Linked DNA regions of Macaca fascicularis. The protein of the gene in region 1 interacts with the protein of each later gene in a pairwise test. Links are inferred from orthologs where the notes say so. Each region holds a gene or a part of one and is shown in the gene's direction. Other genes may lie near its edges. The genes, in order: ZYX, IMP3 and NEBL.

Region 1 (10,727 bases):
CCATCCTTGTGCACCCTGGAGCCCAGCTCCATACGTTCGGCCACCCCAGGCGGACTCGGAGGTGGTCGGGTAGCGGGTGGTGGCGGGAGGGGACCGGGTAACTGCAGGCCGGAGAGGAGGTCGCTGGGCCGGGCCGGAGGCGCACAGGGGCTGCGTGGCTACCTCTGCGGCACCCGCCCCACCTCCGCCGGCTAAGCCCGGAGGGGGACTGTGAGTCAGATCTCGGGCACCCGCGGGTCGGGCATGGGGGGAGGGCAGGTCAGGAAATGACATCAGAGGCCTGTGCTCAGGGAGCGGGGGTCTGAGCCGGGCCGGGGCGGCGGGGGCGGCAGTGAGTGGAGTGGGGTGGCGGCGGGCGGACCTCGGCGGAGCCTCTGGCCTGAGGCAGGATCAGGGCCCCTTCCTGGGGGAGTTTCCTGCCTGGTCCGCCCTTCCCCGCTCTCCCCGCCCCCTCTCCGGGCCGCTCCTTGTATGGTCTGGGCGCCGCTCTCTCCCCGCCCCCTCCCTCCTCCCTCCCTCCTCCTTCCGTGTGTCCCTCCCCGCCCGGCTGGAGGCTGCTCCGGACTGGGACGCAGAGTCCGTGGACCCGGCGCCGAGGAGGCCACCCGAGACGCGGCGCGCACGCTCCGGCCCGCGGTGAGGTGCGGGGAGCGGCAGGGCGGCCCCACGGGGAGGGGGCGCGGGGCGCCGGGAGGGGGCGCATGGGGGTCGCCAAGGGGAGCTGGGACCGCCCGGGGCTCCTGAGCCGGGCTCTGCGCTGCGTAACCCGGCGACCCACCCCAGCAGCCCGGCCCGGCCATGGCGGCCCCCCGCCCGTCTCCCGCGATCTCCGTTTCGGTCTCGGCTCCGGCTTTTTACGCCCCCCAGAAGAAGTTCGGCCCTGTGGTGGCCCCAAAACCCAAAGTGAATCCCTTCCGGCCCGGGGACAGCGAGCCTCCCCCGGCACCCGGGGCCCAGCGCGCACAGATGGGCCGGGTGGGCGAGATTCCCCCGCCGCCCCCGGAAGGTATGCGGCGGGGCTTGGGGGCTGGACCCCAGCGGGCGCCGGAGGGGGGGCACTGTTTCGGGAATCTGGGGATGTCTGGAAAGGTTGTTGCCTAGGGGGCTGGGCGCAGCCACCCTGTCCCGAGCAGATGTTCTTACCTCATCGTGGAGCTCGTGGCTGGGAGCCAGAGCTCCTGGGACCGTTCCAAGTCCCCCGCTTGGGGGTGGGAGGCGGGAATGTGGGGCACGAATCTTCCCCTCCGGGTCCGTTTTCCGAAGTGTAACGGGAGCTGCACCACTCCTCGGCCGTGCCCCCGGCCTTTCCTGACCTGGTACTCCCAGGGCGCCCTGCGCCCCGCCTTTGCGTCCCCACACGCTCTGGGACCCTCGAGAGAATTCTTGGGTTAGGGGTTAGAGCGGTAAACCGAGGGGAGCTTGGGTGAGGGGCAGAGGGACCCCGGGCGACGTCTTTCTCCTTCCTACCCCAGACTTTCCCCTGCCTCCACCTCCCCTCGCCGGGGATGGCGACGATGCGGAGGGTGCTCTGGGAGGTGCCTTCCCGCCGCCCCCTCCGCCGATCGAGGAATCATTTCCCCCTGCGCCTCTGGAGGAGGAGATCTTCCCTTCCCCGCCGCCTCCTCTGGAAGAGGAGGGAGGGCCTGAGGCCCCCATACCGTCCCCACCGCAGGTATGGAGGCCTGGGAGGGGCGGCTGTACCGGACACCCCCAAGGCGAGGAGAAGAGGGCCCTTTCTTACCTCCCCTGCACCTCTGCCTTGGGGGTGGGGGGAATGGAGGCATGGAATAGGTGCTCTGACCTCTGACCCTCTAGCCCAGGGAGAAGGTGAGCAGTATTGATTTGGAGATCGACTCTCTGTCCTCACTGCTGGATGACATGACCAAGAATGATCCTTTCAAAGCTCGGGTAAGGGACCGCAAAGTAGGAAAAGCAGGGCCCAGGGCCAGAGAGACAGGGGATAGAGCTATGGAGGATGGTGTCCTCCTGTCTGCATCTCTCTTCCCTCTCCCACCCCTTGCAGGTGTCATCTGGATATGTCCCCCCACCAGTGGCCACTCCATTCATTTCCAAGTCCAGTACTAAGCCTGCAGCTGGGGGCACAGCACCCCTGCCTCCTTGGAAGGCCCCTTCCAGCTCCCAGCCTCTGCCCCAGGTTCCGGCTCCAGCTCAGAGCCAGACACAGTTCCATGTTCAGCCCCAGCCCCAGCCCAAGCCTCAGGTCCAACTCCATGTCCAGTCCCAGCCCCAGCCTGTGTCTTTGGCTAACACCCAGCCCCGAGGTCCCCCAGCCTCATCGCCAGCTCCAGCCCCTAAGTTTTCTCCAGTGACTCCTAAGTTTACTCCCGTGGCTTCCAAGTTCAGTCCTGGAGCCCCAGGTGGATCTGGGTCACAGCCAAATCAAAAATTGGGGCATCCCGAAGCTCTTTCCGCTGGCACAGGCTCCCCTCAACCTCCCAGCTTCACCTATGCTCAGCAGAGGGAGAAGCCCCGAGTGCAGGAGAAGCAGCACCCAGTGCCCGCACCGGCTCAGAACCAAAACCAGGTAAGGGATGGTGATAGGACAAGGCTTGGGACCCGGGTGCTGGGGCGGGGCTGAGTCAGGAGCCAGAACAGAAGCATGAAGGTGATTGGAGAGTCAGGGTGGACACGGGGGTGGCGGGACAGGAAGTTTCATCCTCTGAGGTTAGCCTGGTGGAACAGTGGTAAGAAAATGCTCTTCTGGAGGAGAGGCCTGGCTGGGTGTGGGGCTGGGTGGGGCCTGGCTGGGAGGGCACAGAGAGCACAGGCTCTGAATTAGGAGGATCTGGTGGACCTTTCCTTGCGCCTTTACCCCAGAAAGTTAAAGGGAGGGATGAGATCACCAGTCCCACCTTGGTTTTTCCCATTCTTGGGTCTTGAGTTAATCTCCCTGCTCCTCTGAGCACTCTTTCTGCCTGAGGGCTTGGAGATAAGAGTCAGCCCCAGTAAACATTGGCTGAGCCAGCATCTACCACGTGCCAGGCACTGTGCTCTGTGCTCAGGAGGGTAGGACATGGGAAGGACGAGATCTCTGCAAGAAGCTCAGCCTTCAGGTGTCAGATGGACCTGGAATGGAATTCCTGGTTCGGGCTTCTCCCAAGCCCTTAGACTGGGCAAGTTAGGTGAACCCTGAGCCTCAGTTTCTCAATCTTTAACATTATCTACTCCATACAGTGGTTGTAAAGATTAGGTGAACTAATAACCTAGAGAGTGTTGGGTTCTGTATCTAGCACATGAATGCTCAAAATACAAAAGCTGTAATTACAAAATGGTTCTTGCCTTCTAGTTCAGGAAATAAGACCTTCCAGTTTCTGGTGATGATGATGCTGGTCCAAGCATCCATAGAGTCCACTGATAGTGTGGATGTCTACTTACACTCAGACACAGCATAGGAAGAAATGCCAAGGACCAGTGAGCTTTGCAGAATCCTGTGAGTCACAGGCACTCAGACCAGGAAGTCCACTTGGGGCCTGGCAAATTAGGAGAGGCTTCGAAGGATGGGCAGGACGTAAGAATCCGGAGAGGAGAGGGATGTTTGGAGAGCAGAAAGTGGAAGGTTCCTGTAGGAAAATGATGGAGCTGTACTTGGAGAGGCAAGCGGGGCTGGAGGGCGTAGGAGGTGAAGTGGTTCACCCAAGGAGCTCTTGAGCACTGGAGAGGCATCATGATTTTTTTTTTTTTTTTTTTTGAGACGGAGTCTCGCTCTGTCACCCAGGCTGGAGTGCAGTGGCCGGATCTCAGCTCACTGCAAGCTCCGCCTCCCGGGTTCACGCCATTCTCCTGCCTCAGCCTCCCGAGTAGCTGGGACTACAGGCGCCTGCCACCTCGCCCGGCTAAGTTTTTGTATTTTTAGTAGAGACGGGGTTTCACTGTGTTAGCCAGGATGGTCTCGATCTCCTGACCTCGTGATCCGCCCGTCTCGGCCTCCCAAAGTGCTGGGATTACAGACTTGAGCCACCGCGCCCGGCCACATTCATGATTTTTGAGTAGGTGCAGGGTGGGTCAGGAGGGCTGGTGAAAGCAGTGTTTTTGGAAGCTTTCTGGAAAGTTTCACCAGCAGAGATGTGTATTCGAGGGAAGTCAGTGATGGGTATGAGTTCACTTTTGGGCAATAGTAATATTAGCTGCAATGAATATTAAGCCCCGCATGTGAGAGCTGTGTGCCAGAGCTGTTGGGAAGGCACAGCCTCCAGGACTTAGCCAGGGATAAGCAACTGGAAGACAAGGGTGAGGGGAAGAGGAAAAACAAAGTCTCCAGGGCGATTTGGAGATTGGGGGTGTGGGCGGATGACAAGATTGCTGACAAAATAGAGAAGTCCAGAAGGGGAAATGGTTTGGACGGGAAGAGGAGGGGTCCAGCTGTCAGCGTATTGAGCAACAGGTCCCAGGAGAACTTTCAGCTGGGGCCGTCATTCAGTTAGAAATTCAGGGCCAGGTTTCAGGACAGGGCCAGAGATGTCTAGCATGGTAGTGGGACACAGTGACACTGTGACGCTGGAGGGTCAGGGTCGGAGCTGAGGAGCTTCCCAGGGAGTACAGACAGCAGGGACTGGGAGGTGTGGGAAGAAGAGTCAGGAGGAGAGTCAGGGTGCACTTGGAGAAGAAAGCTGAGCCCTTCAGCGGGGTATTTGAGGGAGTGAGGACTCAAGGCTAGAGATTAGACTGTTGGGAAATCATCACCGGTCTTGGGATGGCCTGTTTGTGCCCTGTAGTGGGAACACAATGTGAGGAGTTGAGGAGAGAGTGGGTGGTGAGAAGTGGGGCTACTGGTGTAGCCTGGTCTTAAAGATTGGCAGGGAAAAGGACTAAGGGAAGGACTGTGTATCAGTGATGTGAGTGTGGTGTGTGTGTGTGTGTGTATATGCATATGTGAATGTATGAGTGGCGCATGTGTGTGAATGGTGTGTGTGTTAGTGTGTGGGTGTGGGTATGGTGTATGTGTATGTGAGTATATGTGCATGTGTGAGCATGAATGTATGAGTGGCATGAGTGTGGTGTGATTGTGTGAAAGTGTGTATATGAGTATATGTGTGCATGTGTGAGCTAAGGTGTGTGCATGTGTGAGTGGTGTGTCAGTGTGATGTGTATAGTGTGTCATTGTGTATATATGTGTGAAAGTATGCATAAGCGAATGAGCACATACATTCATTGTATATATATGTATGAATATGCACAAGCGAATGAGCACATACATACTTTCACACATATACACACAAGTGGTGTACGTGTATACATGTGCGTGTGAGTGGTATGTGTGGTGTGGTATATCCTTTTTTTTTTTTTTGAGACGGAGTGCAGGCTGTCGCCCATGCTCACTGCAGCCTCCACCTCCCAGGCTCAAGCGATTCTCCTGTCTCAGCCTCCCAAGTAGCTGGGATTACAGGCACGTGCCACTACACCTGGCTAATTTTTGTATTTTTAGTAGAGACGGGGTTTCACCATGTTGGCCAGGCTGGTTTTAAACTCCTGACCTCAAGTGATCTGCCCATCTTGGCCTCCTGAAGTGTTGGGATTACAGGCGTGAGCCACCGTGCCTGGCTTGGTGTGGTATATCTGAATGTGAGTGTGCATGTGAGTGGTGTTTGTGTGTGTGGTATGGTATATGTGTGAGTGTGAATGTGTGTAGTATATGTGTGAGTGGTGTGTGGTGTATGTATGTGTGCATGTGAGTGGTGTGTGGGTATGTATGTGTGAGGGTGTATCAGTCTGTGGTGTAGTGTATGTGGTTTTTGCAAGTTAGGGGAGAAGGGCTCGAGTACGTGTGTAACCCGGGGAAGCAGGTGATGGAGGGTGAGTGTTGTGGGAAAGCAGGGTCAGCCTGCTTCAGTCCTTGGAAGAGATCTTGGTGATGTCTCCTCCCCCTAGAGGCATCCCAGACAGCAAGGACAGAGTGGCTGCAGTGTGGATAGGAAGGACGATGAGGGAGCTTAAGCTGGCTGGCTTCCATGTCCTCAGCCATGTGGGAGGTGAGGTCATGGTGCCAGCAAGTGGGTGAAGCAGGTCGCGGCTAAGAAGATGGAGAGGTCTGGAACAGCTGTTGTGGGGAAGCCGGGCTGGAGGTCGTGCGGGCGCTGCAGTGTTGTGAGCTCACTCTGCAGTGTTCAGCGACCTCTCCACTGCTTTTTGCAGCTTGGAAGCAGAAACAGGAAGCGGGTGGTGGTGTGACTTGGGGTGGAGACTGGGCTGGATAGCTGCGGGTGGCTGCAGGTGCCCGGAGGGACAGTGAACCTTGTAGGAGTACATGGTCAGGGGACCAGGCTGGGGCATGGTGGACAAAGTCCAGGGGTGGGTTGCGGGTGGGGGAACTAAGGCTTTTCTGGGTTCGCGTAGTAGGTGTGGATGGGGAAGAGGAGAGGCAGATCATGGCTGGCAGGGGACTTGGAGGTAAATCTGAGGTCAAGGATGTCCCATGATGGACGATGACTGAGTTGGAGGGAAGGTTGGTTTGAAGCGGTGGCATTGGTGCAGGCTGGCAGAGGGGACAGTTCTGGATAGAGGGTCCTGATGAACGGGGATACCCATGGGAGGTGATGCACATGAGGATTCTGTGCTTCTGAAGGAGGAGCCAGGCATTTAGAATGGCACTGGAGAGCAAGGACTGACGAGGCCCTTCACTCTGTCCCCGAGATGCCAGGAAGGGAAGACTGGAGGAGACAAAGTTGAAGTGAGTGTTCCAGGGAACGAGTCAGTTAAGAGATGGCAGGATCTTAAGGGAAAATGGCTAAGATCTGGGGAGTTGGACTTCTATGGACGCATGCTTCACTGGGCAGAAAGGATGCAACTCTGGGTACAGATAGGGGTCAGGGTGAGGGGCAGTGAAGCCAGGGCTGAGGGGAGAGGGGCTATGGAAGGAGGTAGCAGGGGAGCTTTGGAGGTTCCAGGTGTTACGGGAATGAAGGCATCCGCAGGTAGCACACTCGGTGATGGGGACATGGTCCTGGGTAGGCTTTTCCAGACATAGAAAAGACCCACCCAGTGCACTTGCTCCTGTGGGCGTGCAGGTCAGACAGCCCCTCCTGGAGTTCTCAGGGTTACCTCTCAGGGTTACTGGCGGCGCTGTCCTTCATCCACTCCCCACCCCAGTCCCCAGGATCCCCTGAATGGAAAGGTTGGACTGGCCTAGGGGACGGCCTTTGGACCTTCTCTGAGGCTGCTGGGGAGGGACCTGAGTAAGGTAGTCCAGAAGTCCCTCACTCGAGGGACAGGGTCTCTGTGTGGGGGTGGGGCTGGGTTCTTGCAGACAGCTCAGTGGGTTTAACCTGCAATTCCTGCCTGTGTTGTATCCCCACGCTGACAGGGGCTGCTCAGCAGCAGGCAGGCCGGGTAGGTGTGTGTGCGCGTGTGTGCACGCTGTTGCGTGCCCCTGTCCCATGGGGGTGATGTCCGAGCATGCTCTGTGGAGTTGATGCGTGGCCCTGGAGTGTCTGGTGCTTCAGTGACCCGAGCTGCTGTGTGCGTGGCCTCCGTCTGCTCAGTCATTCTGGCCTGTCTGTGACTGCTCAGGGGGTTTGGGCAAAGCGGGCGGAAATGTCTTGCTGTACGAGATCCAGGCTTAGGTCCTCTTCCCCTGTTATTTGTGTGGTGCTGGGGATGGCGGGGGTAGGGGGACAAGGGAGAAGCTTTAAGGGTCAAGCCTGAGCATCTGGGACATGAGCTGGGAGCTAAGTCCTCATCGGAAGAAGCCGGGTAGGCTGGCCTGGGGGGGTGGAGGCAGCAACCCTCGAGAGTGTGAAGAAAGTGTTGGGATTGCAGGTGCGCTCCCCTGGGGCCCCAGGGCCCCTGACTCTGAAGGAGGTGGAGGAGTTGGAGCAGCTGACCCAGCAGCTAATGCAGGACATGGAGCATCCTCAGAGGCAGAACGTGGCCGTCAACGGTGAGCCCACCCCACCGGGACAGCCCCACCCTGCCCCCTATCCGAGCGGGCTGATCCCTCACAGCCCTACATACTTCCTTCTATTTACTGCTGTCTTCTCCGGCTTTCCCAGAACTCTGCGGTCGATGCCATCAACCCCTGGCCCGGGCGCAGCCGGCCGTCCGCGCTCTGGGGCAGCTGTTCCACATCGCCTGCTTCACCTGCCACCAGTGTGCGCAGCAGCTCCAGGGCCAGCAGTTCTACAGCCTGGAGGGGGCGCCGTACTGCGAGAGCTGCTACACTGTGAGTTGGGCTGTGCTGGGCAGTCAGGCCCTGGAAGCTGGCTGTGGGGTGCCAGTTCCCTGCCAACCTCCTCCTGCTGCCTCCTCAGGACACCCTGGAGAAGTGCAACACCTGCGGGGAGCCCATCACCGACCGCATGCTGAGGGCCACGGGCAAGGCCTATCACCCGCACTGCTTCACCTGCGTGGTCTGTGCCCGCCCCCTGGAGGGCACCTCCTTCATTGTGGACCAGGCCAACCGGCCCCACTGTGTCCCCGACTACCACAAGTGAGGACCTGCCATCTGCCTTCTGGGCTTCTGCCGCGCTTGGTCTGGTAGTCACCCTAGCATCAGGACAGCCCCAAACCCTTGGTGTTGCTTTCTGGTCCCATGTCCTGTGTGTAGACAGCAGGGACCAAGTCATCTGGATGTAGCTGTCCAGGGGCCTTAGGCCTGGACATCGAGTCCTGCTGCTGGCTGGTCCCTCCCTCGTCCTTGATCACTGAAGCTTATTGTGTGTCTATGTCAGCATTTCGTGAAGTGTGCTGGAGTGACTTCATTTCACACAGGCTGGGTTCTAAAAGTTCTTCTGGAGATCAGCTGCTTGGAAATCTGGTTTCTCCTCAGAAACAGTGTTTAGAAGGTGACTCCTTTTCCAGGCTGACCCACAGAACCTCAGTGCAGCTGTGGGAACAGTGCAGAATCTGACCCCCACCTCCAGTGGGGGTCAGTGTTTGGGCAGACACTTTTAGGATTCCACCTGGGGTGGCCACAACTTCACATCCCTCCACAGTGCCAGGCAGTCAGGGCAGAGGCAACATGCGTTGGGGTGGGTGGATTGGGGGAAGGTGAGGGTCAGGGAAGCAGGATCGGATGGGAGGGGTACCTCAGGGCTGGCTTTCTGCAGGAGCTGCAGTGTGAATGGGACAGTAAGGATCTAGTGGGAGAGAACACCGTGGCAGGTGTGTGGGAGGATATCTTGCTTTGGGAGAGTGACTGGGGAGGCAGGAAACTCCCTTTGATGAGGGCCAGTCATGGTGGCTCAGTCTTAGGCCCTTCTGGTGAGCTTCCTCCACCTAGAGATGCAGGGCAGAGAAGTCTGCCTCCTGGCTGCACAGCCTGGCTTCTGTGTGTGCACACAGGGGATGAAAGCCCTGGCTAACTGCTGGCCCTTTCTCCCCCTTCAGGCAGTACGCCCCGAGGTGCTCCGTCTGCTCTGAGCCCATCATGCCTGAGCCTGGCCGAGATGAGACCGTGCGAGTGGTTGCCCTGGACAAGAACTTCCACATGAAGTGTTACAAGTGTGAGGTCAGCCATCCCTCTGGGCTCCTTGGGCTGGTTCCGACCAGGAGGTGGCGGGAGATGCTGCTTACTAACTGGGTGGTGGAAAGCGCCAGCATTCAGGAAACAGGGCTGTGATTTTGAGGGTGGCTCATGATGGCAGCCCATCTGCCCTGCCTGAATCCTTCCTGCCGCTGCAGGAAACAGGGCTGTGGGACTTCTGAGGTCACTTTGAGTCATGGATAAGCCAAGAAACAGGACAAGCCAATAGGAGGGAAGGGCATGGTGTTTTACTGTGGTAGGGGATGGGGAGACAGGAGTTGAGAGAAGAAGTCTTCGAATGGAGGTGAGCCAGGATGGAAGAGGCCCCCAAACCTCTCTTTTATTAGGGCGGTGGCGGGCAGGGGAGCAAACACCTTGGAAGCAGTTCTACCCACTGCTTGCCCTCCTGCAGGAAGGTGCTAGTGGGTGACTGGAAGCAGGATAGGGATGGGGAGTTGGGTGTGGCTGGAAAATGCGATGACACCAGCTGTGAGCCATGAAGCATCTTTCTAATTCCACGATGGAGCTGCACGGGGTGGGGTAGGGTGGAGCAGAGCAGGGGCCTTCTGGTCCAGTGCCCCTCACCCTTCCTTCTTCCCAGGACTGCGGGAAGCCCCTGTCGATTGAGGCAGATGACAATGGCTGCTTCCCCCTGGACGGTCACGTGCTCTGTCGGAAGTGCCACACTGCTAGAGCCCAGAGCTGAGTGAGGACAGGCCCTCTTCAAACCGCAGTCCATGCCCCATCGTGGACCACCCACACTGAGACCACCTGCCCTCACCTCAGTTATTGTTTTGATGTTTAGCCCCTCCCATTCCCGACCCCACTCTAGCATCCCAGGTGCCCTGACCCAGGGCCCAAGATGGCCTAGGGATGCTGGGTCCCCACCCTGGGGTCTAGTCCTCGCCCATCCTGCAGGGATTGCCCACCGTCCTCCAGACACCCCACCTGAGCGGGGCACCAGGTTTAGTGTTGCTGCTTTCACTGCTGCACCCACGCTCTCGGCCAGCCCCCGGAGCAGCCTTTGTACTCTGCTTGCGGAGGCTTGGGAGATGCCCTGACCCTCCAGGACATTCCCACCCTCCCCCGTGCTGCCAGGTTGTAGCTATAGCTACAAATAAAAAAAAAAAAAAAACCTTGTTTTCCAGAATTCTCAGTAGTCAGCTCTTTTGTAATGCCTACAGCCCTCGTGGGTGGGATGGAGGCAGAAAATCAGTTCCTGTTTATTTACAAAAATATATGTGTATGT
Region 2 (10,178 bases), on another chromosome or scaffold:
TACAAACCCCAGAAGGCTAGGTATTAATTTGCACAGCGAAATAAAACTGTCAAGCAGAACTGAATTTCTGCATCAATAGATCAAGGCAGTTTGGGCTACCCCTTGGGAAGCCCAGTTACCAGAAAGTTAGCTCAGTGAGTCCGGAACCTCCAAGAGGGGAAAAGGTATGACGAGTCTCTTAGTCAAGTAACCTTAAAACCTTGTTTCCTGTCATGGGGCAGCCTTGATTCTAAAGACACAGTTCCTCCTAGCATCTCTAAGACTGAATATACGTTTTCCCCACATGCTTTTAGGACCCCGCTTCCCTGTGATCTATCTTCTGTCCACATAGCCTTTCTCTAAACTGAGTTTAACAATAGCATCAGGGCCGGGTGCAGTGGCTCACACCTGTAATCCCAGCACTTTGGGAGGCCAAGGCAGGTGGATCACTTGAGCTCAGGAGTTTGAGACCATCCTGGGCAACATGGTGAAACCCGTCTCTACTAAAAATACAAAAATTAGCTGGGCGTGGTGGCGTGTGCCTGTAGTCCCAGCTACTCAGGAGGCTGAGGCAGGAGAATCGCTTGAACCCGGGAGGCCAAGGTTGCAGTGAGCCGAGATTGCACCCGCCACTGCACTGCAGCCTAGCGACAGAACAAGACTCCATCTCAAATTTTTTTTTTACTCCACTTTCCCCACCAGCTATTGCTCCATTCCTCTGCTCACCTTTGCAGCAAAATTCCTTGAAATAACTCTCTCTCCTAAGTGCGTCCAATTTCTTTTCTTCTGTTCTCTCTTTAAATCCCTCTAGCCAATCTTTTACTCCCACACTCCACTGAACTATTCTTGTCAAGGTCATCAATATCCTTGGTGTTGCTGGACCCTAATGGTATTATTCTCAGTCCTTCTCTTATTTAACCTTTTGGTAGCATTTGACCTGGTTGATCACTCCTTCCTCCTGGATACACTTTCTTCATTTGCATTGGAGAGAACATACTCTCCTGATATTCCTTCTACCTCACTGGTTCATCCTCTTCTCTCCAATAATTCTTTTTTTTTTTTTTTTTGAGACGGAGTCTCGCTCTGTCGCCCAGGCTGGAGTGCAGTGGCCGGATCTCAGCTCACTGCAAGCTCCGCCTCCCGGGTTTACGCCATTCTCCTGCCTCAGCCTCCGGAGTAGCTGGGACTACAGGCACCCGCCACCTCGCCCGGCTAGTTTTTTGTATTTTTAGTAGAGACGGGGTTTCACCGTGTTAGCCAGGATGGTCTCGATCTCCTGACCTCGTGATCCACCCGTCTCGGCCTCCCAAAGTGCTGGGATTACAGGCTTGAGCCACCGCGCCCGGCTTTTTTTTCTTTTTTGAGACAGAGTCTTGCTCTGTCGCCCAGGCTGGAGTACAGTGGTGTGATCTCGGCTCACTGCAAGCTCTGCCTCCCGGGTTCATGCCATTCTCCTGCCTCAGCCTCCCGAGTAGCTGGGATTATAGGTGCCTGCCACCATGCCCGGCTAATTTTTTGTACTTTTAGTAGAGACGGGGTTTTGCCATGTTAACCAGGCTGGTCTCGATCTCCTGACCTCGTGATCCGCCCACCTCAACCTCCCAAAGTGCTGGGATTACAGGCATGAGCCACGGTGCCCAGCAAGCCTCCTATAATTCTTAACATTAGAGTAACCACAGTAGAGTTGTCCTCTTGTCTTTTGTATCCGCAGGCACTCCTTTGATGATCTCATCCAGCCGAATGACTTCAAATACCACTCATTCTAGTAATGCCCAATTTTTAAAATCTCCAGCCCTTTTTAAAAAAAACTCCTAACTCATATATCTATTTCTCCTTGACATCTCCCCTCAGAAGTCTAATGGATGCCACCAACCCAAAATGTCCAAAATTGAATTTCTGAACCAGGTGTGGTGGCTTATGCTTGTAATCCCAGCACTTTGGGAGGCTGAGGTAGCAGGATCGCTTGAGCCCAGGAGTTCAAGACCAGCCATGACAACATAGTGAGACCCCATCTCTACAAAAAATTTAAAAATTAGCGGCCGGGTACAGTGGCTCACATCTATAATCCCAGCACTTTGGGAGGCCGAGGTGGGCAGATCACCTGAGGTCAGGAGTTCGAGACCAGCCTGGCCAACATGGCGAAAACCCATCTCTACCAAAAATACAAAAATTAGCCAGGCGTGGTGGCAGGTGCCTGTAATCCCAGCTACTTGAGAGACTGAGGCAGGGAGAATCGCTTGAACCTGGGAGGCGGAGGTTGCAGTGAGCCAACATCACGCCATTACACTCCAGCCTGGGCAAGACTCTGTTTCAAATAATAATAATAAAATAAAAAATAAAAAATAGTCGGGCATGGTGGCATGTGCCTGTAGTCCCAGCTACTCAAGAGGATCGCTTGAGGCTGGAAGGTTGAGGCTGCAGTGAGCCCTGGTTGTACCACTGCACTCCAACCTGGGCAACAGGGTGAGACCCTATCTCAAAAACAAAAACAAACAAAAAACATAAGTGTCAATCCTTTGCTCAAAATCCCGAAGTATCTGCCTCTCAACATAAAAGCCAAAGTCTTTTCAAGGGACTACAAGCTCTTTAATCTCTTCCTCTCCTCCTTGCCCACTCTGCTCCAGCCAAAATAGCTTTCTTATTCTTCTGACATGCCAGGCACATTCCTGCCTTAAGGCATTTCCACTGTTTCCTCTTCCTGAAATGTTCTCCCTCTAGATATCCACACATGGCTTACACCCTATAAAATATCACCTTCTCAGTAAGACCTACTCTGGGGCCGGGTGCAGTGTCTCATGCCTGTAATCCCAGCACTTTGGGAGGCCGAGGTAGGTGGATCACAAGGTCAGGAGATGGAGACCATCCTGGCTAACACAGTGAAACCCCATCTCTACTAAAAATACAAAAAATTAGCCAGGCGTGGTGGCGGGTGCCAGTAGTCCCAGCTACTCAGGAGGCTGAGACAGAACAGCTTGAACCCAGGAGGCGGAGGTTGCAGTGAGCCAAGATCATGCCACTGCACTCCAGCCTGGGTGACAGAGCAAGACTCCGTCTCCAAAAAAAAAAAAAAAAAAACCATTAGATTTTAAAAAGCAAATGATCTGTATTAGTTTTCTGTTTTAGAGACAGGATCTTGTTCTGTTGCCCAAGCTGGAGTGCAGTGGTGTGATCATGGCTCACTGCATCTTTGAACTTCTGGCTTCAAGGGATCCTCCCCCTTCTTACCCCGAAACCCCCACCAGTAGCTGGGACTATGGGTGCTGCCACCATGCCTCGCTAATGTTTTTTTTTTTTTTTTGTCCACAGGGACTGAGTATTACTATGTTGCCCAGGCTGGTCTTGAACTCCTGGGTTCCAGTGATCCTCCCACCTTGGCCTCCCAGTGTTGGGATTACAGGCATGAGCCCCATGCCTAGCCTGGTGATGTTTTCTTAAACTGGCTAAATTCATGAGTATTTATTATACTTTATAATTTACATATTATGTTTATTATTTTCCAGATATCGAATTTTTTTTAAATATATATATTTTTTGAGACAGGGTCTGGCTCTGTTGTGCAAGCTGGGGTGCAGTGGCACCATTGTAGCTCGCTGCAGTGTCCAAGTCCTGGGCTCAAGTGATCCTCCCACCTCAGCCTTCCAGGTAGTCAGGAATACAGGCACACACCACCATGCCTGGCTAATTCTTTAAGAATTTTTGGCCGGGCGCGGTGGCTCACGCCTGTAATCCCAGCACTTTGGGAGGCCGAGACGGGCGGATCACGAGGTCAGGAGATCGAGACCATCCTGGCTAACACGGTGAAACCCCGTCTCTACTAAAAAATACAAAAAGCTAGCCGGGCGAGGTGGCGGGCGCCTATAGTCCCAGCTACTCGGGAGGCTGAGGCAGGAGAATGGCGTGAACCCGGGAGGCGGAGCTCGTAGTGAGCTGAGATCCGGCCACCGCACTCCACCCTGGGTGACAGAGCGAGACTCCGTCTCAAAAAAAAAAAAAAAAAAAAAAAAAAGAATTTTTACAGAGGCAGGATCTCGCTTTTATCTTTTCTTTTCTTTTCTTTTTTTGCCTAGGTTGGTCTTGAACTCCTGGCCTCAAATGATCCTCCCACCTCAGCCTCCCAAAGTGCTGGGATTACAGGCGTGTGCCACCGCGCCCCACCCAGAAATATTGTATTGTAAAAGACAATGAAAAGCATACAAAACAAAAATGATCAGTGAGAAGTTAAATGCCTGGGCAAAAAGGGGTTAGGTCTGCAGCGCTACACCAGATGTAACTTACAGCTGCAACTAGCCGAAACAGCATTACATTTGTTAACTCAATACTTGGTGGCCAGAAATTTATGTCAGGATAATTCATTTGAGCACAGACTAAAGGGTTTGGACTTGTACTTATAGTCCAAGTTTCTCAAACTTGCTGGGTTTTATGAATCATCTGACACCTTAGTTAATAATACAGATGTCCAGGCGGCTCCCTTATAGATCCCGATTATAATGTGCGCTTAGGAAGCGGCCAGGCAATCGGGATTTCATGGGTTCGGTGCTACCCAGCCCAACGTGACAATGAGAGATCGCTCTGCTTGCCAGGTGAAGGACCTGACGCTGGCGGGAGGCGGGGACTACCAGGTCAGTCCCAGGACAGCCGGCTCCGGCAAGCTCCCCCACGGCATGGCAAGAGCCCAGTGGAAGTTAGCACAGTAAACCCAATCAACAAGCCGCAGTCACCCTTCTTCCCCAGAAATGGCCTCTTCAGCTCTTGCGGGGGAGACTCTGAAAGTCCCCAAAGGACAGAAGTCTAGGAGGAAATGATTGCCGCACAAAGGGATACAGTCTTGGCTACTAAAAACCCCGCGTAGCCGCCTAGGGACCCGCCCCCCCGCGCAATGCTTCTACCCCCTCCCTATGCAAACGCGCAGAAAAGAAACGCGAGATCCCAGTGCTTGGGCGTGGTCCCACCCTGGCCAATGGAAAATGAGGGCGTGACTTTAAGCCTTTCTTTCATTGGCCCAGGGTCCCAGACCGTCCAGGTCTTGGTGCGCCGCGGCGGAAATCGCGCGGGTACTGAAACGCACTATCTGCTTCGGGTCCTGGTGCTGCGGCTGCCGCCATCATGGTGCGGAAGCTTAAGTTCCACGAGCAGAAACTGCTGAAGCAGGTGGACTTCCTGAACTGGGAGGTCACCGACCACAACCTGCACGAGCTGCGCGTACTGCGGCGTTACCGGCTGCAGCGGCGTGAGGACTACACGCGCTACAACCAGCTGAGCCGTGCGGTCCGTGAACTGGCGCGGCGCCTGCGCGACCTGCCCGAACGCGACCAGTTCCGCGTGCGCGCTTCGGCCGCGCTGCTGGACAAGCTGTATGCTCTCGGCTTGGTGCCCACGCGCGGTTCGCTAGAACTCTGCGACTTCGTCACGGCCTCGTCCTTTTGCCGCCGCCGCCTTCCCACCGTGCTCCTCAAGCTGCGCATGGCGCAGCACCTTCAGGCTGCCGTAGCCTTTGTGGAGCAAGGGCACGTACGCGTGGGCCCTGATGTGGTTACCGACCCCGCCTTCCTTGTCACGCGCAGCATGGAGGACTTTGTCACTTGGGTGGACTCGTCCAAGATCAAGCGGCACGTGCTGGAGTACAATGAGGAGCGCGATGACTTCGATCTGGAAGCCTAGCGGATCTCCCACTTTCCATGGCTGTCTTTTACAGATGGGAAAACTGAGGCCTGATTCTGGAGATTCTATGAGGGTGCTTTCCCCAAGGGTGTCAGATGGTCGTAGGTTCTTAAGAACTTGATTCATCAGTGGCAGGCCTTGCATAGAGCCACGGGAGATGCGTCCTTGTTTTCCAGGAAATGTTCTTAGAACTTGGACTACTGATTATTAATTGACTCTGCCTTGGAAAGCAGTGGGAAGTAAGTTGGTGCTGCACTGGGGTATTGTTGGCTTCTTGTGTTGGAAACTTGGTAATCTAAAAGGAAAAACCGCAAATCCCTACGCCCTGTTTCCCTTTATCTAGTCTTGTAGTTGGACTGGTTCAATTCGTTTAACTCCAATTCTTGCTCCTGGCCGTGGTTAAGCTGTGTACAGATGATGGAGAGTTTGGCCTTAAGTTTTTATAAACTGAGCGAGACTAGTGTTCAGGATCTCCTCCCTTGTTTAAATGCCAATAAATGCCCCAACTGCTTTGTAAGTGCAACTTTTTAATCTGTCTGGTTTTCCTTTATTTTCTCTAGAGATGGAGTCTCGCTCTGTCACCCAGGCTGGAGTGCAGTTGAGCGATCTCGGCTCACTGCAACTTTCGCCTTCCGGGTTCAAGCAATTTTCCTGCCTCAGCCTCCCGAGTAGCTAGGATTATAGGCACCCGCCATCGCGCCCGGCTAATTTTTGTATTTTTAGTACAGTCAGGGTTTCACCATGTTGGCCAGGCTGGTCTGGAACTCCTGACCTCGTGATTCGCCCGCCTCGGCCTCCCAAAGTGCTGGGATTACAGGCATGAGCAAACTGTGCCCAGACTCTGGTTTTCTTATATAGAGTCATATTTATAGGTCCTAGGAGCCCAGAGAAGAATAGGGTCAGCAGCGAGCGATCTGCCTATGGATGAGATGTGCAACAGGGGCCAGATGTGGAGGATGCAGGATGTTGTACAGGATTGGGCAAATTTGTCACTTTACCAGTCCCTTCCTTGGAATGAGTGTTTTGGCAGAGCTCTTCCTCACATAACTTCCTGTTGATATTCCAGCCCCAGGAAATACCGTATTAGAGGGCTGGGATGTTTGCTTGCCTAAGGAAATAATCACCCTGTAGCTTGGCCATCTAGCGGTTAGAAGTGGCCTGGGAGGTTCCTGAAAATTTAGATGACAGCAGTGATAGAGAATTAGAAGGGAGACTACCAAGTTTTACTCAAGATTTCTTTATTATTTTTTTCTTTTCTTTCTTTTTTTTTTTTTTTCACACAAGGCCCGGACTGGAGTGCAGTGGAGCTGGCACAGCTCACTGCAGCCTCCATCTCCTGGGCTCAAGCCGTCCTCCCACCTCAGCGTCCCCAGTATCTGGGATTATAAGCATGTGCCACCACACTTGGCTAGTTTTTAATCTTTGTAGACACAGGGTTTTGGTATGTTACCCAGGCTGATCTCAAACTCCTAAGTTGAAGCAATCCTCCTGCCTCAGCCTCCCAAAGTGCTGGGATTACAGGTGTGAGCCACCGTGCTTGGCCAGGTCCTCTAAAAGGAGAATAAATAGGATGCTGAGATCAGTGGATTGGCTTTTAGGGGTTCCTTGTTCGCTTCCCCAGGTGAGGCAGCATTTGGTGAAGAAATGATGTAGAGAAGGGGACTTACTACATCATGGGATGATGTCATACCAAGTACTTCTGCTATATGTCAGCCCCATTTTTAAGTGCACCACCTGTATTGGCCCATTTCAACCTCCCAACAATCCTATAAAGTGGAAAATCCAATTCTCAACTTTTCAGATGAGGGAACTGAGGCAGAGCTGGGTCAAATTACCAAAGATTATGTAGCCAGTAAGCAATGGACTGGGACTGTGTCAGTATCAGCACACCCAGCCCTTGGTGTGTGTCAGAGTTCAGAAAGAGTCTCTGAACTTGAATTTACAAACCAGCAGAGAAAAGCAGCAGCACTAGACAATGTGATCGGTCTCCACAGGATGCTGTATAAAGGTGTGAGGAGGGAGCAAACATTGTACTGGGAAGGCTTTAAGGAAAAGGTGATATTCAAGTTAGGAAGGGAACGAACTCTCATCTAGGCCCTGCTAATGCTAGGCTGCCATTCACTCTTACCAACAACTCTGCAAGGTAGTTGGTGGTATCTGTAACTTCAGTTTGGGAAACAATTGGAATAAGAACTTGTCCAAGGCTAGGTTTCAAGTCCAGTCTCACGTGACTCCAGAGGCCATGTTTATTTCAGTGCTGTCCCTTTAGAAGTGGAAGGAGAGAGAATCCTGCTCTCCAGCTCTGGTGGCTGGGCATAGTCTGCCCATTTGGAGGAACATCCTCAGGACTCCCAAGATTGTGGATCTCATGGAGGAAAAGAAAGTGACTGTACAAGGCAGGACCTCTGTGGCCCTCCAGACCCACAAGGCATGGCAGATAGATCAGCCCCCTTGGAGTAATTGGATCCTGCACCCATGACCCAAGCAGATAAAAACCTCAAAATTCAGGCCAGGTGCGGTGGCTCATGCCTGCAATCCCAGCACTCTGGGAGGCCGAGGCAGGCAGATCACTTGAAGCTAGGAGTTTAAGACCAGCCTGTCCAACATGGTGAAACCCCGTCTCTAGCAAAAATATAAAAATGAGTCGGATGTGATGGCACATGTCTGTAAACCCAGCTACTTGGGAGGCTGAGGCAGAAGAATAGCTTGAACCTGGGAGGCAGAGGTTGCAGTGAGCCGAGATCATGCCACTGCACTCCAGCCTGGGCAACAGAGTGAGATTCCGTCTCTAAATAAATAAATAAATAAAACAAGAATAAAAGCTTTAGACTTAAGAAAAAAAATCTGCTAGGCATGGCGGCTCACGCCTGTAATCCCAGCACTTTGGGAGGCTGAGGCAGGAAAATTGCTTGAACCCGGGAGGCAGAGGTTGCAGTGAGCCGAGATCGTGCAACTGCACTCCAGCCTGGACAACAGAGCAAGACTGTCTCAAAAAAATAAAAAATAAAATAAATAATCACTCAGCTAGCTAATAATGGCTACCCCGACAGTGCTTACTATACCCTAGGCTTTGTGCTGTCTCATGTAGTCCTCACAACAACCTTATGGGCACTATTGTGGCCATTTTATCGCTGACAAAACTAAAGCTCAAAGATAATAGCTTACCTGAGTCACAGAGTTAGTGATGGAGGCAGGTTGCACCTAATTCCCTCTGGCTCTGGGTTCTACAATTTTAGCCACTCAGTTACACCGGGAGTGAGCCTACTATGGCTTAGAGCAGTGGTTCTCAAACTTGAGCATGCCACATTTGAACCTTGGGAAAGATTGTGAAAACAAATGCTGTCTCCACTCCCTTCATGTTTCTTTCTTTTTTTTTTTTTTTTCTGAGACGGAGTCTTGCTCTGTCGCCCAGGCTGGAGTGCAGTGGGTGGATCTCAGCTCACTGCAAGCTCCGCCTCCCGGGTTCAGGTCATTCTCCTGCCTCAGCCTTCCGAGTAGATGGGACTACAGGCGCCCGCCGCCACACAAGGCTAATTTTTTGTATTTTTAATAGAGACAGGGTTTCACCATGTTAGCCAGGATGGTCTCGATCTCCTGACCTCGTGATCCGCCCACCTCTGGCCTCCCAAAGTGCTGGGACTACAGGCATGAGCCACCGCGCCCGGCCCCCTTCATGTTTCTGATTCAGGAGGTCTGGGGTGGACCTGAGAATTTGCATTTCTAACAAGTTTCCAGGTGATTTTGGTGCTGCTAGTCAGGGGACCACACTTTGAAAAGCACAGGGCTTGTTCCTAGCCCAGTGCTTGGCACAGAGCAAACATCACACAGATGCTGCATCCTATTCCAGCACCAGAGGGGCAGAGAGGCTGCAGGGACTTCAGGGAAAAGGGGTCTTGCCTGCCTCTGACTTGCTGTGGGACTAGGGGCATAAGCTGCTTCTCTCTCTAGGCCTCCCTCCATCTCCCTTCTATGATAGGAAGAGGCAGGATGAGATGGCTCTAGTTTCTGCTCTGTTTCTGATTTAGAGAAAAGGATATAAAAGAGTGCTGTCAACACTTGCAAAGTAGAGAAAAATTTAGAGGTGCTTTGCTGCCCCAACAATCCCCAGCCCTGGCTCAGGAAAGCTGTGCAATCTTTAGGACAAACCTTGGTTTTAACATCCAAGAAAGGCTGGATGCAGTGGCTAACGCCTATATTCCCAGCACTTTGGGAGGCCGAGGCGGGTGGATCACCTGAGGTCAGGAGTTCCGGACCAGCCTGGCTAACATGGAGAAACCTCTACTAAACATACAAAGAAATCTCTACTAAACATACAAAAAATTAGCCTGGTATAGTGGCGGGCCCCTATAATCCCAGCTACTCAGGAGGCTGAGACAGGAGAATCGTTCGAACCCAGGAGGTGGAGGTTGCACTGAGTCGAGATCAGGCCATTGCACTCCAGCCTGGGCAAAACTTCATCTCAAAGAAAACCCAAAAAAAATCCAAGAATGGGTCCCAACTTTGAAGCCCCTGGGCAGTTTGTAAAGGACATTTCCCCCCTA
Region 3 (10,727 bases), on another chromosome or scaffold:
AGGCTTGCAGACAGTTTGAAGGGTGAGTAAAGCAGAGTTTTATTGGGTGTAAAGGAAGAAAAGGGGGGAACAGGGACTCTCTGCAAGGCCGGAGTCCCTGCTAGAGTGCTTCCCACCTCACAGTTTGAATTCCAGGTTCCACACAGGAAGAAGAGGGGCCAGGCTCCTCCCTGTTGCAAACGGCCTGAACTTCTCTGGCTCCACCTCAGCGCACACTCTTTCCAGTGTTCAGGCCAGCTGGAGTTTTGGCAGTGACCCCCTCCTATCTGTCTGTCTCAATAGTGACATCAAAGATTACTGATTGGCCAGGCGTGGTGGCTCACACACCTGTAATCCCAGCACTTTGGGAAGCCGAGGTGGGTGGATCACCTGAGGTCAGGAGTTCATGACCAGCCTGGCCAACATGGTGAAACCTGGTCTCTAATAAAAATACAAAAATTAGCTGGATGCCATGGCACATGCATGTAGTCCCAGCTACTCGGGAGGCTGAGGCTGGAGAATCGCTTGAACCCAGCAGGCTCAGGTTACAGTGAGCCAAGATTATTCCATGGTACTCCAGCCTGGGCGAAAGAGCAAGACTCTGTCAAAAAAAATCACTGATCACAAACCACCGTAACAGTTTGAAATATTATATTACCAAAATGTGACACAGAGGCACCATGTAAGCACATACTGTTGGAAAAATAGCACTGACAGACTTGCTTGGCAAGCAGGGTTGCCATAAACCTTCAGTTTGTAAAAAATTCGGTATCTGCAAAGCACAATAAAGTAAAGCACAATAAAAATGAGATATGCCTGCATTACTGCCTTTATTTTACAGATGAGCAAACTGGAAAAGTTGAGCATTCTCAGTGTCACACAGCTGGTGAGTGCTGTGGCCTCCCAAGTTCATCTGTTCTGTATAACATCAGCTCATTTACATCCACCTCCCTATCCTCCAACCCTAAAGACAATTGTCAGTGAAGATTTTCACATGGCAATTGCCCTTGTATACCAAACATCTTTGGAGCTTTGCACGCCCTTCTTCAGTGAGAACAAGATTATCGTTCTAAGTAGTTCAGAAAATTTAGTTGTGAGTGATCATTCGTAGTACTCAAGGAGCTTTGTTACCTCTTTTGTAAAATAGGTTTAACTATTTTTTTTGGTATCATTGACTGCAGATGCATGTTTGCCCACTGAGTGTTTGAATGTTGTAACATGTCTTTTGCAGAAAGAATACAAGAAAGATCTGGAGTCAATAATTAAAGGGAAAGGAATGCAAGCTGGCTCTGACACCCTTGAAATGCAGCATGCCAAGAAGGCTGCAGAGATCGCGAGTGAGGTTAGTAGGGTGCGTGATGCAGGCCTTAAGACTCATATTGTGGAACCTAACAAATCGTATTAGCAACTTGATTACTATATGGAATTTCTCAAAGCGTTGCGGCTGGTTTAACAGTTTGGAATGGAGACTATTCCACAGCATTATGCCTGTTTGAAAATGTACAGTTTTTGCTTTGCTCACATCCCTCCAATATATCAAAAAAAGCTTGGTGGAAGGCATTTTAGTTGAATACACACACACGCACACATGCACTCCCCTGCACACCTTACTTCAGAATACAACAGATTTAATGGTTACCTGGGCTATGAGAAATGTTTTCATGGTATTTTTAATGGATCACCTGCTGCTTGGCATATCTGTATTTCCAAATTTCTGAGCAGAACTTCATATACGGATGCTTAATGTGAGTACAACTATCATTTCTGTCTGATTGCATGTTCTTAAAATAGCCTTTGTTGACATGATCAGCATGCATGAAATTTCTACACAGCATTTTGAGTGGAGGTCTTATATAACCTGATTGACCATGTTCATTCATCTAATACCATTTTTCTCTTCATGGGATACAGGATATTGATTTAGAAGTTTTGTCTTAAATTCTGTGACAGGATGGATATCACATCACAAGGTTGTAGGAGTCGGACCATATACATGTATTTCAAAGGAAATACCCTAGAACTTTCTCTACACCTCTTGAACTTCCCCACAAAAATCTGAGAATATAAAAGGATCACTGGAGTAAAGATTTGGGTTGTGATGATTTTATAAAAGTGTATGTGAAGAAAAAATTGGGATGCAGGTGAATGGGTCCTGCTCACTTATCTCAAGACTGGGTGGGTGGGGGCTTCAGTGGGGTACTCTGAGACCTGTTGTGTGACCTTTGCACTTAGGAAGAGCTGACTCAGGACTGACACCTTACAGGAAATCTGGAAGGCTAGAGGTAGCTGCTTAGCTGCTACGGAAGTTACTGTTGTTTTAAAAATGACTGACATCCCCAGGGTTAGGTACTGACCAGGGAAATGGGATTGCCATGATTGAATAAGACAAAGGAAGTGGAGATGGTATAGGTTTCCTAAGCAATAAGTGTTCCATTTTGAAGTGGTGGCCAGGGGTGGATGGCCAGGAGCGTGAGGAACAGGGACTTTCCTACTTCTGTTCTCCCAAGAGATAGTCATTGTTATAAGTTTGTTATGGAACCTTCCAAATCTGTTTTGTGTTTATATAGATAAATATATACTTGTACACACAAAAACTTAAAAAAATCTTAAATGGGGTCATACTCCATTTAAGTGTTTGATTATTTTCTCTCTTTATATTATGGATTTTTTTTCTGTGTTCCTTCATATAGGTCTACCTCATTCTTATAGAAAAATTAAGTGTTCTATAACATGGATGTGAATATGTGACCCTTTATCTTTTGTTGTCTACAAGGGAAGTATATAATGGGATCTCAACATTACAGGCCAAAACTAGAATCCTTAATTTTCCCCTAGGTTAGCTTTCCTCCATCTGCTTCCCAGCAAATGGTACCAACCAAAGCATAGAAGTCACTTTGATTCCTGTCATCAGCATGCTTTATTGATGTCACCCCCATCGTGGCAGTCTAAATCCATCTTTCTCACCACCCTAGTCTAAGCCACCATCTCTATCCTCTAGATCATTGCCATAGCTTCCTAACCAGAATTCTGCTATTATTGCCTTCCTAGTAGCCATTCTCAACCCAGCAGAAGAATCCTTGACGGAATTAAATGAAATTTTGTTCCTCTCCTCACATGCAATTATTTAGTGGTTTCCAGTCACATCCAGTGTAAATTGATTCATCTGGCTCTGGTGAAGTCTCCATTCTCAGGCTGAGAGTCTTAGTCAATAAAAACCCCCCAAATAATAATAATAATAATCTAATCATAGTCATGTCCCATTTTGCCTAAATGATAGGCTCAGATCCTTTTCAACCAATGTTTGGGACTTTGCCAGAGTTTGTTTTTAATATCGAAAGTTTATTTTTCAAATAAAGTCAATGGATCATATTGTAACACAAATGACCCTCAATAGTCAAGCCTTCCCATAGCTCTGGGTTTGACCATGTGACTTTCTTTAGCCAATGAGACATCAGCAAATGTGACTCAGACAGAGGCTATAAACACACTTCTGCATTAGGGTTTGCCCTCTTTGAACACAGATGCTGCCATGTTGTTGTTTTAAACCTTCTAAGTTTTGGGGTGTTTTGTTATGCAGACAACAAATAACTGATGCCAAGGGTGTCTAATGTAGTCTGTGTGCTTTAGAACACATTTACATTTGAAAGTTCATATTGGAAAATTGTTACATCCTTCTACCATTGGACCTTCATGGCTGTCTGCTATGAGTGCTTCAGTTTCATCATATTTGTTGGCCTTCAAATGAAACATTTTGTTTTGGGGCTTTAAACAGGCTGAAACAGAGTGCTTTTTATAGACATAGTAATAATTGAATATTATTATTTTGAAAGTTAAACATAATTATGTAAACTTTTATTTAGAAAAGTGATACTGGGAGTGTAAGTCAGTAAAAATGGGAAGAGTTATGAGTGGAAGACAGGAGGAAAAATACTCCAAGATTGACACTTTTGTTTACCACCTATCTAAATTTGATGATCTATTAATAAACAAACCAATATTTACTTTGCAGCAGAGAATCTACAAATCTGGAGTGTGTCAGCATAATAAGAAAGAATTGTTTTAAAACAAATTTAATTGGCTATAGTTAATAGTTTTTTAATAACATTTTTCTTTGAAGAATAATATACATATAGAAAATGCAAATTTATATATGTACGGCTTGTTGAATTTTATAATCAGTTTTCAAATGTGACAAAAGTCCCTAAGGACATGTGTGTCTGTGCAATTATGACTATCTTGTAAGAAATAGGTAATCCAATTCCAAACTGGCTTAAAAAAAAACGCAGATAACTTATTTGTTGTTCTTATGATTGAACGGTAGAGAAATTCCTGGGCACGGCTTGATCTAGGACTCAAATAATGAGATTTAGTTTCAGCTTTCAGTTCTTAGGTAGACATTCTTGTTTGCAAAGAAGCTTCCAGCACCTCTTATGTGGAAAAAAAGATGCATGCATCCTGGAACCAATTCTGCAGTGTGGGTGATGGGGTATAATGATTTAAGTCCAGCAGAGCCCAGAGACTTGGGCCAGTTTCTGGATGGTTTAGGAGGGAGAGCATTGAGTTGTCTAGTGGCAAATCAGAGAGCCAGTGAAGGGAGTAATGATTTATTTAAGCCCAGCAGAGTCCAGAGATTTGAGCCAGTCTCACCCAAGCTGGATGGTTTAGGAGTAGGAGCACTGAGTTGTCCAGTGGCAAGTTAGGGAGCCAATGAAGGGAAAAGAAAGGGTGGATTCCGGGGAAACAGCCAACACGTATTCACTACAGAGTGAAAAACAGCAAGCCGTATATGACCCAATAATATATCCAGTTTATCATAATGAAATGTTAAATTTTCCCCTTGGCTAGCTCTGTTTTTCTTCTTCTTAATTCAGATTAGCAGAAAAAAAGTCTTCTGATTACTGGTGAATAAGTTATGCTAAGTCATAGTCCTACCACAAGTAAAAACTCTTTCTTATTCTATAGAAATAAAAGAAATAAGGATTCAACTTCATTCCAAAAGACATGGTCTTGCTGTCAAATAACATCTCGATTTTTGAGTCGTTTTTCAAATGATCGGAGAGCACTAACTGTGTGTTTCATTTTCTGCAGAAAGACTATAAAAGAGATCTGGAGACTGAAATTAAAGGGAAAGGGATGCAGGTGAGCACAGACACTCTTGATGTCCAGAGAGCTAAGAAAGCATCCGAGATGGCCAGCCAGGTAAGACAGCAGTGAGATACAAAGTTTAAAATAAATGCCGTGAATCATAGCTAGAAAGAGCATAAGTGTTCTTTTCACATGGGTGGCTTTGAGATTCAAACACGTAAATGTCAACATTGCTATTAAAGCTTAAGCAAAGTTCTAAGATCATTTTCTGTTCTTTTAGAAACAATACAAGAAGGACTTAGAAAATGAAATTAAAGGGAGAGGAATGCAAGTGAGCATGGATATCCCAGATATCCTTCGAGCCAAGAGGACATCTGAAATCTATAGCCAGGTTGGTCAAGAATGAAGATGCTCAGAATCATGTTTTCCAATGTCATGTTGCCATGTGCTTTGTATGTCTCTATGAATGATATCTTTCTGAGGGTATTGCATTCAGAGTTAGTATACTCTTTCACTGAGAAACCATTGGCCAAACTTGATTAACCTTACTAATGAATAGGACAACTGTCATAGATTCAATGCAACAGACATTAAGGAGAGCTACAGTCTCTCTGTTGGGGCTCCTTGTTTTGAGTCCAAGGACATTAAAACTTTTTTTTTTTTTAATTTTAGAGATGGAGGTCTCACTCTTTCACCCAGGCTGGAATGCAGTGGCACCATCGTAGCTTGCTGCAACCTCAAACTCCTGGGCTCAAGCTTATTTTCTTGCCTCAGTGGGCATGAGCCGTTGTGCCCAGCCCAAGGATATTTTAACCTTTTCTTTCTTTCTTTTTTTTTTTTTTTACCCTATTGGACACTTGGCTCAAATGCTTTTGCTTATACCACAGAAAAATAAATTACAAGCTATTTGTCTTTTAACCATTTCATAATGAATATTATTATTAAAATGGTTCCAAATAAAACTAACAGTGACTAAAGCTGCACAAAGTACAAGGTGAAGTTTAGTGTTAGGTAAAAATTGAGGGAACAGTGAAGTTTTCTTGGTAAAATTTAGATTTGTTAAAGATACTTGTCCCATATTCTGTAAACAAAGCTGGATGTGGGAGAAGTAATGACCACAAAAAGTATTTATGGAAGAAGAATTTATTTATAAAATCTGACTTGGGCAAAAACATTCATTAGCAAATAGTATCCTTGCTGTAACATTTACTAAAATAAATGACTCCCAATGGGAAAAAAAATAGTAGAAGGAATGAACAAAAAGAAAATGGTTATATAAAATTGACCATAGAATTTAATTTGATTAATGGAGTTTATGCAGGAAGGAATGTGTAACAACATTTGGCGAAATTTGTTAAAATTCTGATTAAGACATAAGCAAGGACATTAACCATCCACTAGTTCAAAAGGGTAGTATCAAGATGGCAGCGTCAAATGTCAGAGGACTTGTGTGCCTATCAGCCTCTGCAGACGACACAGCCACTGGGATGGTCCTGAAGTGTGTGTTCTTCTGTTCTCGGTGTCCATGAACTTGGAGACATTGGCTCTGGCCATATCAGCTGAACTAAAATCCTACGTCAATACATTAAACAGGCAAATGGACATTTGAGTCAGTGGAGAAGAGTTACTTACTGTCTCAAGAATGCCAAACTCATTCCTTCAGTTGGTGAATACCTCCTGAGTACCCATTTGCATGCAAAACCAGACATGACTTTGCCCTTGGAAAGCTACAGACAAATCTAATAATCATGTAAATATAGTGTTACAACCATGATAGATACACCTGAAAGTAAACGTATTGAGAGTGAAGGTGCCTGAGCTGTCAGATTTCCTGCCTTAACTTAATAGCATAGTTTTTTTTTTTTTTTTTTTTTTAGTGTGACGTGAGACTATATCTAATTTTAAGGGATTTTAATCACTGAAATACAATGGGGATATTAAGAGTGTGTAATGAAGCCTGGTGCATTTCGACATGAAAAGTAGTTACCTTTCTTAATAAGCAGTAGTTTGCCAGAATAGTTAACTTCACTGATTTTGGAATCAGCCTGGTTTTAAGTTGCAGCTCTGATACTTACTATCTAGTACCTCGGTTTCTCCATCTATAAGATGGAAATAATAATAGTATCTGCTTGTCAGGTTGATTAAATGAGTTAATGTGTGTTAAGTATTTAGAACAATACCCATTACATAGTAAGTAAATGTAAGTGCTGGTACTAGGATAAGATATTGCCTGGGTTGTATTAGAACTCATAGTAGCTGGTTTAGTGGAGAGAAAATTAAGATTTTAATCTCAACTTCAAAATACTGGTAACTTTCCCTTAATCAAATCTATTTTCACCTGAAGTAGGAAACAAAGCATAAATCTAGAAGCCATGTGGTATGGTAGAGATTGAAGAATGGTATCATTCCCTCTCTCTCTCTCTCTCTTTCTCTCTCTCTCCCCCTCCACCTCCCTCCCTCCCTCCCTCCCTCCCTCCCTCTCACACGTGCACACACACACAGTTTCAGATTTATATTAACTGTTTTTATTTTTAGAGAAAGTATAAAGATGAAGCAGAGAAGATGCTTTCTAACTATTCTACCATAGCAGATACTCCTGAAATTCGGAGAATTAAGACAACTCAACAAAACATTAGTGTGGTGAGTAGCCATTATTTCTTTTCAGTTGCCACCTTGAAATTTTGTTTTGTAAGAAATGGTCTTTTTTCCTCATTGTCTGATGTTTTCTGCTGTCTTACTTGAATTTTCTGTCAAGTGTATTATCTTTATTTCTTTAAAATAATAAGAATACTGATAATTTTTACAAATTATCAATTTTCATGTTTTTTTGGAATTACAAATTCAAATTTCCCTCTGATACAAATGACAGTTAACTAAATTTTAAAATTTAACTCTGGAAAGAAGTCTTAGTCTTCTACACAGATTTTACTTAGAAGATGAAAATGGTCATATGAAGTGATTTTATTCCTGGTAATTGATTGTTTTTACTAATAATATATTTAGCGATTTACTCATTCTTAATAAATTTCTAAACTTATATATTTTTATTTTGAGGAAGAGGAATTGCATTGGCACTATTTTTTTTTTAGCTTTTAAGTTCAGGGGTATCTGTGCAGGTTTTTACATAGGTAAATTTGTGTCATAAGGATTTGTTGTCCAGATTGTTTTGTCACCCAGGTATTAAGCCTAGTACCCATTAGTTATTTTTTCTGATCCTCTCTCTCCCCTCCTACTTCACCCTCTGATAGGCCCCTGTGTGTGTTGTTCCTCTCTATATGTCCGTGTGTTTTCATCATGTAGCTCCCACTTATAAGTGAGAACACGTGGCATTTGGTTTTCTGTTCCTGCATTAGTTTGCTAAGTATAATGGCATCTGGCTCCATCCATGTCCCTGCAAAGGCCATGATCTCATTCTTTTTTTATGGCTGCATAGTATTCCATGGTTTGTATGCATGACATTTTCTTTATCCAGTCTGTCATTGATGGGCATTTAGGTTGATTCCATGTCTTTGCTATTGTAAATAGTACATCAGCACTATTAATTAAGAGACTGGGTCCATGATTAATAAATGTATAAACTTGACTTCTGTTCTAAAATTGTAAAAATTGACCATACAACTAATATTTTAACATAGAATTAGCTCAGTCATTAATAGTTAAGCAAGCATCTCATCAAAATATAAATTCTAGTAAGTGTGAGGACTTCTGGAATATTTCCTACCTCCTAATTAGTTGGCATGTGCCAGCTCTCAGGGTAAGCTGGTCAGGTGCCTGCTGGGTCTCCACAGGGATGGCCAGTCTGTACTGAGAAATGGAAAAGTCTTACTGGAAGGATCAGGAAAGGAGGCTGTGTGATTCCATAGTGTTCTAGAGTTCTAGCCTTTGGAGGAAAACATTTCTCCTACAGTGCTCTCCCACCCGTGCGGGGGCCACTGGATTACCAGATGTCAAGAAAGGCAGTGATTCTCTCCTCATTTGTCTTTCTTATAATTACTCTGGTTTTCTGCAGAGTACTCATAATGAGAGCACTCATAAATACTCTTGTGTTTTTGTTCTGCTTTGGGTTTGGAAGGAGTAGGTGTTACTGGGGGTGGAGACACATGGGAGAGGGTTAACAAATAAGTGGAAGATGAAGAAGATAGACTTGAAATTAACATTGATATTGACGATGAGCTAACATTTTCTTGGAAGAGAATATGGGCATCCTTGTGTTTGGAGAATAGAAGTTGCCTAAAATGTCATGCTCTTTTTGAATTCAGTGATAATGGCTTAATGGGCTTTTGTAATATCTGCTTTTTCTCAAATACACGTGTGACATATATTTATATTTGAAGAAAGGAACTCTGGTTTGTCAATGTGTATTCTTAAAGCAAATAATCTGTAGTCAGCCATGGTAGCGGTCTAGCCCTAGAGCAGGAGAGGGTTACTTGTAAGATTATGGGATATAAAACCAAAGTTTTAATGGATTATTTTAATGGATTATTTACTATCTTAATGGATTATTTAATTGGTTTCTATAATTCTGGCACTCAGATGCGGTATTCGTATTATTATAAAACCTGAGAAAATGTCTTTTTCAGAAGCAGATCTAGGACTTGAATTTGACAAGCTTATTCTTTTCCTTTTCTTATAATAAAGATATTTTATAAGAAAGAAGTAGGAGCTGGCACTGCAGTAAAACATACCCCAGAGATCGAACGAGTGAAGAAAAATCAGCAGAATATTAGTTCAGTAAGTTCTCTACAGCATTAATTATCTTTTCTAAAAGCAAACAGAAACTGTAGACAAATGTTTTTAATTCTTTACTCAACTGATGGCTTTTTTCCTTTTATTCTTCACTTTATTGAAATGCTATTTCATCATATATCAAAGATCTAACTGTCAGAACAAAAACTATATCCTTGTTCCCCTTGACTCTGAAGCAGTATTTCATTCTGATGTATCACAGTGAAGAAGAGCCAGGTCATTTTAATGAAACTTAGGATTAGATTTCATCTCTTTGAAGAGAATTTTAACTCTATTAAATTTTGCAGAGAAAGGGTACATTTCAGTACCTCTCCACAAGTTGGAAGAAAGAAATTTTTCCCTGATAGAATGATTAAAGGCCCTAGAACATTTATTTGGCAGCTTAAGTGAAGGTTTAGATTTGAAAAAGCAAATAGTACCAATTCATTTTTAACCCATGTCAGTCACATCTCTAAGCTTTTTATCAGACACACTTCTGTCCATTTCTTCTTTCCAGCCCCTTTTACCTTCTGCTTCTTCCAGCAAAAGTGAAAACAAATCACACATCTTCACTGTAAATTGTGAAATAACTTACCTTCCAATAACCTTTAGACTTGGGGGAAGGGTCCCCTTCTGTTAGAAGGGTGCTTCTAACATTAAGGTGCTTAATGTTATGGATAAGTTTTTTTTTTTTTTTTTCCATGGAGTGTTTGACATTTGCGATAGATCATTGCTCTCCTTACCAATTAGATATTCTCCCATGTATATTTAGTACATTGAGTTTCTTTTCTTTTTCTTGAGACAGAGTCTTGCTTTGTTGCCTAAGCTGGAGTGCAGTGGTGCAATAGCTCACTGCAACTGCCTCCCGGCTTCAAGTGATTCTTCTGCCTCAGCCTCCTGAGTAGCTGGGATTACAGGCACACACCACCACGGCTGGC

The links.
Region 2: the proteins of ZYX (region 1) and IMP3 interact in binary tests that used the Homo sapiens proteins (3 or more experiments, as listed by UniProt). The link is inferred for Macaca fascicularis from reciprocal best matches to the Homo sapiens genes ZYX and IMP3.
Region 3: the proteins of ZYX (region 1) and NEBL interact in a two-hybrid assay, tested with the Homo sapiens proteins (2 studies listed by BioGRID and IntAct). The link is inferred for Macaca fascicularis from reciprocal best matches to the Homo sapiens genes ZYX and NEBL.

What each region holds. Positions count from the first base shown.
Region 1 is NC_088377.1:185,244,746-185,255,472, forward strand, and holds ZYX (zyxin), read left to right. Parts: upstream 1-571; 5' UTR 572-641; intron 642-783; 5' UTR 784-798; coding exon 799-1,006; intron 1,007-1,472; coding exon 1,473-1,672; intron 1,673-1,815; coding exon 1,816-1,908; intron 1,909-2,023; coding exon 2,024-2,545; intron 2,546-6,580; exon of another isoform or gene 6,581-6,685; intron 6,686-7,318; exon of another isoform or gene 7,319-7,344; intron 7,345-7,773; coding exon 7,774-7,894; intron 7,895-8,006; coding exon 8,007-8,176; intron 8,177-8,264; coding exon 8,265-8,443; intron 8,444-9,342; coding exon 9,343-9,463; intron 9,464-10,079; coding exon 10,080-10,184; 3' UTR 10,185-10,628; downstream 10,629-10,727. UniProt on the Homo sapiens protein: Adhesion plaque protein. Binds alpha-actinin and the CRP protein. Important for targeting TES and ENA/VASP family members to focal adhesions and for the formation of actin-rich structures.
Region 2 is NC_088381.1:52,861,197-52,871,374, reverse strand, and holds IMP3 (U3 small nucleolar ribonucleoprotein protein IMP3), read left to right. Parts: upstream 1-5,049; 5' UTR 5,050-5,082; coding exon 5,083-5,637; 3' UTR 5,638-6,160; downstream 6,161-10,178. UniProt on the Homo sapiens protein: Component of the 60-80S U3 small nucleolar ribonucleoprotein (U3 snoRNP). Required for the early cleavages during pre-18S ribosomal RNA processing. Part of the small subunit (SSU) processome, first precursor of the small eukaryotic ribosomal subunit.
Region 3 is NC_088383.1:21,659,090-21,669,816, reverse strand, and holds part of NEBL (nebulette), read left to right. Parts: intron 1-1,210; coding exon 1,211-1,321; intron 1,322-5,067; coding exon 5,068-5,178; intron 5,179-5,344; coding exon 5,345-5,455; intron 5,456-7,599; coding exon 7,600-7,704; intron 7,705-9,702; coding exon 9,703-9,795; intron 9,796-10,727. UniProt on the Homo sapiens protein: Binds to actin and plays an important role in the assembly of the Z-disk. May functionally link sarcomeric actin to the desmin intermediate filaments in the heart muscle sarcomeres.